Stegostoma tigrinum: one gene and its partners. The protein of the gene in region 2 binds, or shares a complex with, the protein of the main gene of each other region. Links are inferred from orthologs where the notes say so. Each region holds a gene or a part of one and is shown on either strand. Other genes may lie near its edges.

Region 1 (3,751 bases), on a different chromosome or scaffold from region 2:
ATTTCAGGGGGAAAGCAGTTTGAGTACGCGAAGGATTCCGTGGGTTTGCTCATCTCCAGCTCACTACCTCAATATTCCTACAGGCACTGTACGGGCAAGCTGCCCTGTCAGGGGGATAGAGCACTCAACCTGCTGAAGAGCGTGTCGGAGAGGGAAACTGAAGTCTGAGCTCCCGCAGCAGCGGCGGGGCTGGGGGTAGGTGTGTGGGCATCTACCGGTACGTCCCATGCACACAAACCCAGCCTCACACCCTCACGCACTTATACACACACACGTATTTATTTACACACACGCGCACGCACTCGCATACACTCAGATACATTTACACACACAGATGCACACACTCATACACTTACACATTTACACACATACATTTAAACACACACTTAAACACGCACACACATTTACACACACACTCCCACACTCACACACACACACTTACAGATACACACACGCACACACTCGCATACACTGACACACATGCACTGATACACACACACACACTCACTCTCACACACACACACACAAACACACACTCTCACGCGCACGCACACACACACACTCACACACACACACACACACTCTCACACACTCTCACACACACACTCACACACACTCTCACACACACACACTCACACACACACACACACACACTCACACACACTCACACACACTCTCTCTCTCTCTATCTCTCGGTGTCTGGGTGCGGAGTCCCGGGCGGGATTGCCGGCCGCTAAGACTGATACTGGTCAGTGTCGGCCAGCAGCTCCCCGGGAGCGCGGAGCAGACCCGAGCCGGAGCCGCACAGACACACAGCGCTCTCTCTCTCTCCCTCTGTCTCTGTCTATGTGTGTGTGTGTGTGTGTGTGTGTGTGTCTGTCTGTCTGTCTCTCTCCGTGTCTGTGTGAGAGGCGGGAAAACACCGCTTTAATACAAGGATCTGACCAATCATATGGCTGTTTCCTGGGTAACCAGCTGCAGATTGATGCCAGTATCCAGGAGACGGCAGCATCCCGGGCTCCAATGACCATTCCCCAAAACCATAAAGCTCCGGCTGAACCGCTCCATCCGCCACTCAGCTCCGGCACAGCCAGGACCCGATCCCGGTGCGAGCAGGTCAGTCAGAACACCCCCTGCCCTCCCCGGGGCTGGTCAGCCCGACCCCCATTGCCGGGCCTGACCCCATCACCTGTAACCCAACAGCCTTCCCCTGCCCTCTGCCCCCTGACTCACTCCAGCAGCTTACCCCCTTGCTCTCCCCCCGCCCCTCCTGCACCCTCTCCACCCCTGCCCCTTCTATCCTGCCTCCCTCTCTCCTCCTGCCCTCTCCCCTCCTGCCTCATCTCCCCTCCCGCCCCCTCTCTCCTCCTGCCTGCCCTCCTACCTCCTGCCTTCTCCCCTCCTGCCCCACCCCACGCGTCCTCCTGCCTACCCTCCCCTCCTGCCCCCTGAGCTGCCGTCCCCCCACACCCCGCCCCGGTAAGTTACTGTAGTGAGTGAACCGAGAGACGGGGCTGAATTGAATTGATACTCTTGCCTCTCTGTGTGATGTCCCAGGGCGCAGTGTCCGTGGCCACATCAGGAACTCGCTGCGAGTTGACTTTGGCGAACCCAGAAGCCTACTGTGCGCTTCCTGATTCCCAGTGAGGAGCTACAGAGTAACTACAGGAACACCGGGATAACGGCACAGCCAGGCGAATGAGTAATCGGTAAGACGCTGCAGCTTTGATCTGCATCAGAGTTTGTATTTGTCTTGAACAGTGTTAATGCAAATAATGACAAGTGCTAAAGCTGAACAATACACTAAATCTCAAACGAATGCAGAAGAACCGACGGTCCTCTATTGAAGATGCGTTCTTTATTAGAAACATACGGAAATAGATTCGCTTTAGCAATGCGATCCTCCTTTGATATCTTCAGCAAACGCTGCACATGTGTTTGCGGAATCGCGTTGCTAAAAAATTCCGATATTTGAACGACCCTTACATTTCAACTTCGCGCAACGTGAAGCCAAATCCACTGGGGGCGGGGGCGAACTGCATGTCCACCGAGCTGAGGGGTCTACCTTCTGAACCCTCCCACCTTGTCCAGGTAACATTCCGGGGTTGGAGTGTTACCCTCGATATAGAACGCTTCCTTTTTTAAAGAACTGACATCTCATATTGCTGAAGGCATTCTTTGTATGCAGTTCTCTATACTACTGGATATATTTTATATTGCTTTTACAATATCTGGTTCAGCTGGTTTATTAAAACACGCTGAAGCCTGTACTCATAAAGGGACAAAGCGACTGAACATCACTTCTGGTTTATTTGACTGATTAATTAATAAATGAAGGTAATTTGGACCTGGTGGATGTGAGTTACCTTCAGTGATTACTAGACATGTTTGTGCAAATAGGTAAATTGAGGCATTGGACATGTTCCATTCAATTGTTTTATCCTGAAAATAAAACATCATCAGTCGGGAATATCGAGTGAGTTTCTGGGACTTAAGAGTCAGTAATTACAAGCAAATGCTGGCTTGCTTTTGGTCTATAATTCAGTCTGGGTGGAAAAGCAGAAACACAAGGCTCCTCGAATTGTTGTATATAATATCACAAAGCCAGGATAAATAAACAGTGATGTTATAGAGGAGTATGGTCAGGATCTTAAAAATGTTTCACAGAAGACATTCTGTTAAGGCAGGCTCTATCCAGTTTTGTATTTAAAATCATCTCAGAAATGCAGCAACACTAAACAGTTCATTTTTGATCCTCACACCTTTAACAACATTTTCATTACCCAACCAGTCTCTATTTCAGAAATTTCTGCTGGGCTAATCTTGTAGCCCTTGATTACAGAATAGTTCTGTGCCAGCATAATAAGCAGTGAACACTCTTGGCTGCAGCAGTGGGGAATGAGGAATAAGCATTGAAAGGTTTAAGATGAGTTATGGAGTGTGTAATTTGTATAGCATCCTCAAAGTGTTTGAGTCTTTCATCATCCTTCAAGATCAGTACTCAGTGCTGTTTGGATGAGGTAATGTGGTTTTATATTCTACTGTTCCAAGCTTTGAAGAATTCAAGGCAGTAAATTAGTGGAATCTTCTGCAGTGAGGATAATGAACTAGTCACTAAGTTTTCCTTTAAATTTACATTGTCATGTTAAATTGTGGTTTCAATCTGTTCGTACAGTGCTTTGACTGTTTCACAGAAGCACTAACCTTTCAATGTTCCTTTCCCATTCATAGAGCTACAGAGGGTGCAGTTCCCTCATGTTGTTATCTATTGGATACTGTATAAAAGACTGACAGAGATAGAATAGTAACAATAACTCACTGCACAGAATGTGTTTTTGTCAGAGAATTGCTCAGGCTGCAATTTGTGAAAGAGCCTGGGTTAGAATGGGATCTGACTAAACTGATCATTTGCTATTTTTTCAGTGACAGATATCATTGGATGAACGGCAATTAACTCTCATCTTACACAACATAACACATTGACACATGTGGATTTATTGATTTTAAGACAGTTTCATCAAACTCCAAACCTTCAACAAAGCAGGCTCAATCTGAACTGCTGTCATGAAAAGAAACTTTTCTGCTTCTACTCATGTGCATAAAATGGGATTAGAGAAATGGTTAGAAAATTAATAGTAGCTGAGAGTGTTTGTCTTATGAGGCATATAAGATAAGGAAGCACAAGGTTTGAACCTTAATCCATGCTGAATAAGGTGACTGCAAAGAGGAAATGTCTGGCCTCAGTGACTCT
Region 2 (3,751 bases):
AACAGGTTGAAGAGTTAAAGAGAGTGGGCAGGAAAATGGACTTGAGGTTGAGATGAGATTAGCCATGGTGGTATTGAATGGTGGAGCAGGTTCAAGGGGCCGAATGGCCTATTCCTGCTCCTAGATCTTTCCTTTTGGAATACGGCACACAATTCTGGCCATCCATTTATAGGAAAGATATTGGTAAATATGAGAAGGTGCAAAAGAGATTTACAAGGATGTTGCAGGCTTGGAAGGTTTGAATTATTGGGAGAGGCTGAATAGCCTGAGGATTTTTTTCCCCAGGAGCGTCGGAGGCTGAAATGTGACCTTACAGAGGTTTATAAAATCATGAGGGGCATAGATAAATTGAATGACAAGGATCCTTTCCCTTGAGTGGGGAAGTCCAGAACTAGAGGGGCAGAGGTTTAAAATGAGAGGGAAAAGATTTAAAAAGGACATGAGGCATAACTTTCTCACGCAGAGAGCAGTGTGTGAATGGAAGGAGCTGCCAGAGGAAGTGTGGAGGCTAGTACAATTACAACATTTAAAAGGCATCTGGATGGATGTATAAATAGGAAGGGTTTAGAGGGAGATGGGCCAAATGTTGGCAAGTGGGGCCAGATTAGTTTAGAATATCTGGTCAGCGTGGACGTGTTGGACCGAAGGGTCTGTTTCTGTGCTGTGCCACTCAATGGCTCTATGAATCCATGAATATTTCAGTTGCAAAATCTCACCACTTTTCCAATGGATATGTGTATAATTGTGGATGTGTAAATAACCTACAAAGGGTACAGTTTCCCCTTCATTCTTTCAGGGTGTCACTGGCTACAACCAGCATTTGTTGCCCATTCCTAATTGCCCTCGAACTGAGAGGCTTGCTCAGCCATTTCAGAGGACACGCATTGCTGTGGGTCTGGAGTCACGAGTAGTCCAGACCAGATAAGGACTGCAGATTTCCTTCTCTAAAGGACATCAGTGAGCCACCAATGTGTACAGCTGGATGACCACAGCAGGCCAAGCAGCATCAGGGGAGCAGGAAGGCTGACGTTTCGGGTCTAGGCCCTTCTTCAGAAAATCTGCGAGCCAGATGGGTTTTTCAACGATGGCTGATGTGTTACTGTCATCATCACCGAGACCAGCTTTAAGTTCCAGATTTGCTCCAATCCAGCTGTTTCGTGGTTACAATAGTTTCCAATTACAAATTTGTTGAATTGCACAGTCACTGCTATGGGATTCTGAGCACATGTTTATACATTATTGGATTCTGACACCACTACTATGCTACCATTCCTGTAGATGTGCCTGTCTGCACACTTTGTTAATCTCCATCCATATTAGGGAATGTTTTTCTGTTTCTTGTATCTGGTATAGTGGTAACTATTCCTCTATTATGTCTGGTTATGTCTGTCCAGTCCTGAACTGTTCTCTGTAAATCTATTAGCACTCTCCTTTCCCCAGAGTTGGGGTGTCTGGGGGGGTGAGGTATTAATTCAGGAGGCTGTCAAAACCATAACCCTTTTCTGCCCACGAATCAGTCTGTATAATGGTTGGTTCGGCTTTAAGCAGAGCTAGGCGTGGGGATGTCTGTGTGTGTGTGTGTGGAGTAGGGAGTCTGACTGTGTGTGTGTCGAATATGCAGCAAGGAATGACGGTGGAACTGAGCAGTAGGGATTTGGGATTAACCCTCCTCCGCGAAAGAAATTTATCTGTTTAATTATCAGATAAGGGAGGGGTGTGTGGCCGTCGGGAAGAAAAGGAATGTGAAGAGAAGTGGGAGTGGACGAGATTAAAGGCGATAGAGAGACAGCAATAAACAGGGGCTGTCTGAATTAAATCTCAGTTGTAGCTTCCGAGGGCTCGGCTCTGATCTGAAATTCCGGGGTTCTGTCCACGAAGCTGGAAAGGCAGCAGAATAATGAGTGACAAAGGCACAAGGTTTGTGAGATTTCTGTTTTATTGGATGCTTAAAACGCAACTGGAAAGGGGAATGGTTAGAACGGGTTGAGCTCCAGTCTTGAGACTGGGATGCAAACTGGGAGAGAGTCTCCTGGCTTTATTTGTAAACCTTGAACATTCTCAATCAGTCTGTTGCTAATAACATAGGGGGAGATGGTGGCCTAGTGGGATTATCTCTGGACTGTTACCCAGAGACCCTGTTATTCTGCTGGGTACCTGCATTCAAACCCTGCCATAACAGAAGGAGGAATTTGAATTCAATAAAAACAAAACTGCAATTAAGAATCCAATCACAATTGTCATTAAAAACCCATCTGGTTCACTAGTATCTTTTCTTTTAGTAAGGAATCCTTACCCAGTGTGGCCATCAATGTGGTTGATACTCAACTGACCTCTGGGCAATTAGAGATGGAAAGTAAATGCTGGCCTGGCCTGTAACACTCACCTCCCATGAATAAATGAAGATCAGATTTTTCTGGCATTTTTGAGTTTAATTTTTCACGATGATGTTGTTTTCTTCGTGCTACCATTGCAATGTTTGCTGCTGGTTAAAAGCTTTTGAATGAGACTCTGAGCTAAGATCCTGGGGTTAACTGGTACTAGGATTCAATTTAAAAGCCTTGATGATCGCGGGGTGGGGTGGGGTGGGGATAGATGGGGATTTGTCACAGGATTGTTTGAAAGTGATCCCCCTCCCGTTTTTAGATCCCTTTGATTCCTGTTCTGCCAACTCTTAGATATTCCGGTGGATTACCATTTCTCCCCCCGCCCCCGCCACTCTTCTCTCTCTCTCATTTTGGGATACAGCATGTTCCAATTTGAGGATTCCAAGTGGATCACATAATTACTTTCTTGTGGCTGTCCAACCTTCAGCTGTGATGAGAAACAACAGCAGGAGGAGGCCATTCAGCCCCTCTATCTATCCTGACACCCAGAAGGACAAAGGCTGTCCTATGACTTCACTTGCTTTGCCTCCCTTTACCAAGTGAAGGGGAATCTGAGGATGTTGGATATGAAATGATGCATCGGGCTGCGAGTCTCCTCTGGGAGAGGGTATTCCACATTCAGCTCAAGATTCAAAAGTATGAGGGTATGCGTAAGAAGCAAACATGGTTTGTGGAGTTAGAGCAGGAGAGAGCCAGAGAGTGGGGTCGAAGAAGATAAGAATGTTCTCCTTCAGGAAGAGAAGGCTCGGGGGAAGAATTAATAGAGGTATTTGAAATCATGAAGAACTTTGATCGAGTCGATCAGGAGAAACTGGTTCCGTTGGGATGGGGTGGGAGGGGGTGGTTTGGTGTGGTGGGTCGAATTGGCAAACCTAAAGGCCACACATTGATGAGGTTTGAGCCAAAAGGAGCCAACATTTATCTGACGCAAGGGGTTTCTGTGATCTGGAATGCACTGCCTGAAGGGGCAGTGGAAGCAGATTCAAGAGGAACTTTCAAAAAGACCTTGGATGAATTCTCAAACACAAAAGGGGGAGAAGGGAAAACCAGGAACTGGAGAAAGATGAAGAACAAACAAAGCTGACTGCCTGGTGTATTCTAAGAGTGGGGACAGATATAATGGACATCCCAGTTCACTGAGTAATAGGGAAGAAAAATAACATGTTGGCCTTTATTTCAAAGGGATTGGAGTATACAATTTTGGAGGTTTTGCTAAAACTACACAAAGCATGAGTCAGACCACAGCAGGAATACTGTGAATAGTTTTTGATTCCTTTATCTAAGGAATGATATACGGGCATTAGAAGCAATTCATAGAAAGTATGCTAGGTTGATAATAGGTATGGAGGGACTGAGGAGAGGTTGAA
Region 3 (3,751 bases), on a different chromosome or scaffold from region 2:
TTGATTTCACGGTTACAGAGAGAGGGGAAAGGGGATAAAATGGCTTAAGGGACTTGCTCTTTCAAACAGCCATGTCATATTGGACATGATGCGTCAAATGGCCTTTGTCCAGTCTGTAACCATTCTCTGAGTCTATAATTCTAAAATCAGGAAACAGCGGCCTTTTGCAACACTTGAGTACTTAAGAATCTTCACTGTTTCTTTTGTCTAATCGTGCAGTAAACACAGCCTGTCAAACAATAAAGCAAAAATCTTAGCCTAACATCCTAGCCTAACTAAGATTAAAGCAGAGCTCTCTTCTCTCTTCTACTCCCTCTCACCTCCCTCCTCCCCAAAACTCCAAAAACTAGAAATTATTGATTTTCTTGGAAAGAAAAGCGTTTGTCTCCATCCAGGGGGATGTAGAGATTATCACTGTATCTGAAATTACTGAATTTCAAACCCGCAGTAATTTGCTCCTTCACCCGTCTGTGATTTGTCTGGGGAAAATGAGTATGTTCCAAAATTTGGGAGGTAAATAGCTCACGCCAGAGAATTGGTATCAAAGCATATTTCTGCGGGCTGTAAAGCGATTAAATACCTTTATTGTAATGCTAGTTATTCAGAGGTGGTGTTAACATCTGGAAAATAAAGGTGGGCTTTCATCTGTACGAGTCCCCACCTTGAACTACATTAGGTTTTTCTTTAATCTCCAAACTCAGCTATCGAATCCCCATCTCGGTTTTTCACCCACGACTTGCATATAATCAGGAGAGCGGATTATTATAAGGAGGCTTTTTTAAAACCTACCTCCTGTTAGCTGCTCTCAAAACCGTGGTGGGAGAAAACTACAGTTCCGCCCAGAAAGCGTGAGCACTGCCTGGATGGTTGAAACTGATATCGTCCCCATATTTGAGAGTGAATTGGCGGAGCCAGAAAGCAAAGCGAAGGGCTATCTCTATTTCTCAAGGCGGAAGGAGCTCAGAGCTTCATCCCTCGCTGGATTTTCCCGGCGCTTCCATACAAAACGTTTTCTAGACACAGAAACTGCTGCGGCATTTACAAACTGTTCCATTTTCCACCCTCCGCCAGCGGATTCCCTATCAGTGTAAAACCGGCGGCACTTTTCCCAAGCTTGAGTATTTCACAGGAAGCTCGAGATCTGATGCAGCCCAACTTCCGAACGCACTTCGTGATCTTGAAAGCGATTTGCAACAAGTCAATTTACCCGAAATGTTAGCTCGGTGAGAGTGAAGGGCTCGGGGGAGGCAAGTGTTGCGGACGGCGGAATTCCCAGACATTTATTCTGGCAAAATATTCCCCTCCACCATCCCCGGTGTCTGAAACATGGTCAGCACCAGCTCCTTCGGAATTCGCTTAAATAACGTAGGAAGAACAATTCGGAAATCCAAAACCTGAAGCAAGAAATGCGACTAAAATAGACTTGTGCCGCGGAGAATGTTTAGGGGTGATTTCAGCAGAGCCTGGGAACTGGATATACATACAAGCAGGTGGCGACTAGTGACTGACTGTGCTAAAACAAAAATACCCGGGGAAACAAATCTCACATGGGGATATCACGCCCCCTCCCCTCACAATCCGCACTCCATCCCAAAAGCAAAGCAATGTCAAATTGTCCGCAAACAATGCACTTTCTATCTTGCTCGTCTGTTGTAGCTGCCCCATCCAACTCGGTTACAGCGTCTAACCAATATGAATTCCGGTCAATGTATTGCTTAAAAGCGCAGAATCTGAGCCATTTGGCCAATTATTTTGGCCCAGTCCCTCCGCTCAGTGCGTCACCTTCCGAGAAAGATCCTCGAGGGGCAACCGAACCTATAAAAGGTCCTGCTCCATTCGCCAGCAACCAGTACACTCCCGGGCGCTGGGATCAGGCTGAGCACTCGGACTGGTCCCGACTGCAGCCCACACTATCTCTCTCTCACACACACACACACGCACACACACACTGAAAATGAGCCTTGTCTTAAACACCAGTTTGGAGAGGCACGATGGTCTGAATGGGTTGCCAGCTGACCATCTGGCTGGATTTGGGATTAAGAATGTCACCCAGGAGCAACCAGGAGCCGGGGACAGCGATCTAGATGTGAACACTGACATCTATTCCAAGGTGGTCGTCACTCTGCTGTACCTCGGCCTCTTCTTCCTTGGCTCGCTGGGAAACTCGATCACTCTGCACACCCTGGTCAGGAAGAAGACTTTGCAGAACTTACAGAGCACCGTGCATTACCACCTGGCCAGCCTGGCTTTCTCGGACCTCCTCACCCTGTTCCTGTGCATGCCCATCGAACTCTACAACTTCATCTGGGTGCATCACCCCTGGGCGTTCGGGGATGCCATCTGCCGGGGTTACTATTTCCTCCGGGACGCCTGTACCTACGCCACAGCGTTCAATATCGCCAGCCTGAGCATCGAGCGCTACTTGGCTATCTGTCACCCATTCAAAGCCAAGACCTTGATGTCCACCAGTCGCACCAAGAAGCTCATCTCCATGATCTGGCTCCTCTCATTCCTGCTGGCCACCCCGATGACATTCACCATGGGTGAAAAATACGGGACCACAGACCCTGATCCAAATGATTTGATCTGCACCACTATTGTGAACGAATCGACTGTCAAAACAGTCATCCAGGTGAGCAACTGGCTGTCTATACGCCTGCACTGGCCGTGAATATAGTTCAGAGCAAACTAATTTAACTCATGCTCAAGATTGCCCCTAGTATGTTTCCCCTTTCTGTAATCTGGCACCGGCCTGTTGATTTGGCGTTGGTTTTCGAATTGTCTGTCTTTGATGTGTAGTGATTTCCTTAGAGACGGGTCTACAGAAAGCAGGAGCTATTTCCAGCTTTCCAAGTAGGACTGGGGTCTCCCAACCGCAAGCAGTCCTGATGAAAGGTCACAACCTGAAACTCTCTGCACAAATGCTGCTTGACCGACTGAGTTTTACCAGAAGTTTTTTCTAAAAAAAATCAAAAGACCAGTATCTGCAGTATTTTGCTTCTGTACTCTCAATTTAGTATTGAAAAGTTGAATTGTATGTTACTTTGAAATAGGTAATTTCAAAGAGAAAGGAATAGATTTTGGCGTTTAGCCATGATTTACCTTCATCCCCGACTGCGTTCTCTTTAAAATGAATCAGAATTTGCCTCCAGGCAGGAAAATGTCAGATCATCTTCTTAATAATTGTGTCTGTGAAAAGTATGCATCAGAATACAAGTCCTTTTATTTCTACAAAAGAATCTTTCACAAAGTGTACTCATAAATTATGCTATTTTGTACGATTACTTCAAGATTTCTTTCGTCTGTTCAAATCGAATGTTTAACTAACAGAACTTGCAGAATCAATCTCTCTTTAGGAATATAATCTGCACAGCTAATTATGTAGATTGGTAAGAAGCATGAGTATGAAAGGTTTCATGAATAACTGAATAGTATGCTGTATTATGCCTTTCTAGCATGTTGGTCTTTGATGTTTGTTGTTTCAGTATGAAGTGGAATGAAGAGCAGGCAGATTCTATAAAAGGCAATAACTTGACTGGGTTACTGCCTGTTTGAGGATGTAAAACAAAAACTACCACAAAGTGCAGTATGCTGACAATAATATGAAATGGAGAAGTTAGCGGCTTTGACAATATGGTTGAAAGTAGTTAGATATTTTTCATTGTCAAGGTTTGCAATATCTGATGCAGAGAGATACATGAGCACTTTTGCAGTATACAATTGCATTTTTTTTCCTTTATTCATTCACAGG

Evidence for each region.
Region 1: the proteins of beta-arrestin-1 (region 2) and metabotropic glutamate receptor 3 are in contact, whole or in part, in a cryo-EM structure (PDB 9II2), measured with the Homo sapiens proteins. The link is inferred for Stegostoma tigrinum from reciprocal best matches to the Homo sapiens genes ARRB1 and GRM3. Residues at the interface, in NP_004032.2 of Homo sapiens: Gly5, Thr6, Arg7, Val8, Phe9, Lys10, Lys11, Ala12, Ser13, Pro14, Tyr21, Arg25, Arg65, Glu66, Asp67, Leu71, Gly72, Leu73, Thr74, Phe75, Arg76, Lys77, Arg103, Leu104, Lys107, Pro133, Arg236, Phe244, Asn245, Thr246; in NP_000831.2 of Homo sapiens: Pro605, Lys608, Ala609, Ile669, Phe670, Asp671, Gly672, Val673, Lys674, Asn675, Ala677, Gln678, Arg679, Lys681, Phe682, Ser684, Cys761, Pro762, Glu763, Phe765, Val834, Val835, Thr836, His837, Gln855, Ser856, Ser857, Ala858, Ser859, Thr860.
Region 3: the proteins of beta-arrestin-1 (region 2) and ntsr1 are in contact, whole or in part, in a cryo-EM structure (PDB 6UP7), measured with the Homo sapiens proteins. The link is inferred for Stegostoma tigrinum from reciprocal best matches to the Homo sapiens genes ARRB1 and NTSR1. Residues at the interface, in NP_004032.2 of Homo sapiens: Tyr63, Arg65, Asp67, Leu68, Val70, Leu71, Gly72, Leu73, Thr74, Phe75, Arg76, Lys77, Asn245, Thr246, Ala247, Gln248, Tyr249, Lys250, Lys284, Arg285, Gly286; in NP_002522.2 of Homo sapiens: Ser93, Leu94, Gln95, Ser96, Leu97, Gln98, Thr100, Val101, Arg166, Ile170, Pro173, Lys177, Phe286, Ser287, Met288, Ala289, Ile290, Ala297, Leu298, Gly301, Ser368, Asn370.

Annotation. Positions count from the first base shown.
Region 1 is NC_081378.1:2,760,299-2,764,049, forward strand, and holds the start of metabotropic glutamate receptor 3, read left to right. Parts: upstream 1-1,035; 5' UTR 1,036-1,116; intron 1,117-1,557; 5' UTR 1,558-1,709; intron 1,710-3,751. UniProt on the Homo sapiens protein: G-protein coupled receptor for glutamate. Ligand binding causes a conformation change that triggers signaling via guanine nucleotide-binding proteins (G proteins) and modulates the activity of down-stream effectors.
Region 2 is NC_081359.1:109,447,653-109,451,403, reverse strand, and holds the start of beta-arrestin-1, read left to right. Parts: upstream 1-1,562; 5' UTR 1,563-1,897; coding exon of another isoform or gene 1,898-1,917; intron 1,918-3,751. UniProt on the Homo sapiens protein: Functions in regulating agonist-mediated G-protein coupled receptor (GPCR) signaling by mediating both receptor desensitization and resensitization processes.
Region 3 is NC_081372.1:20,182,634-20,186,384, forward strand, and holds the start of ntsr1 (neurotensin receptor type 1), read left to right. Parts: upstream 1-1,536; 5' UTR 1,537-1,954; coding exon 1,955-2,632; intron 2,633-3,751. UniProt on the Homo sapiens protein: G-protein coupled receptor for the tridecapeptide neurotensin (NTS). Signaling is effected via G proteins that activate a phosphatidylinositol-calcium second messenger system.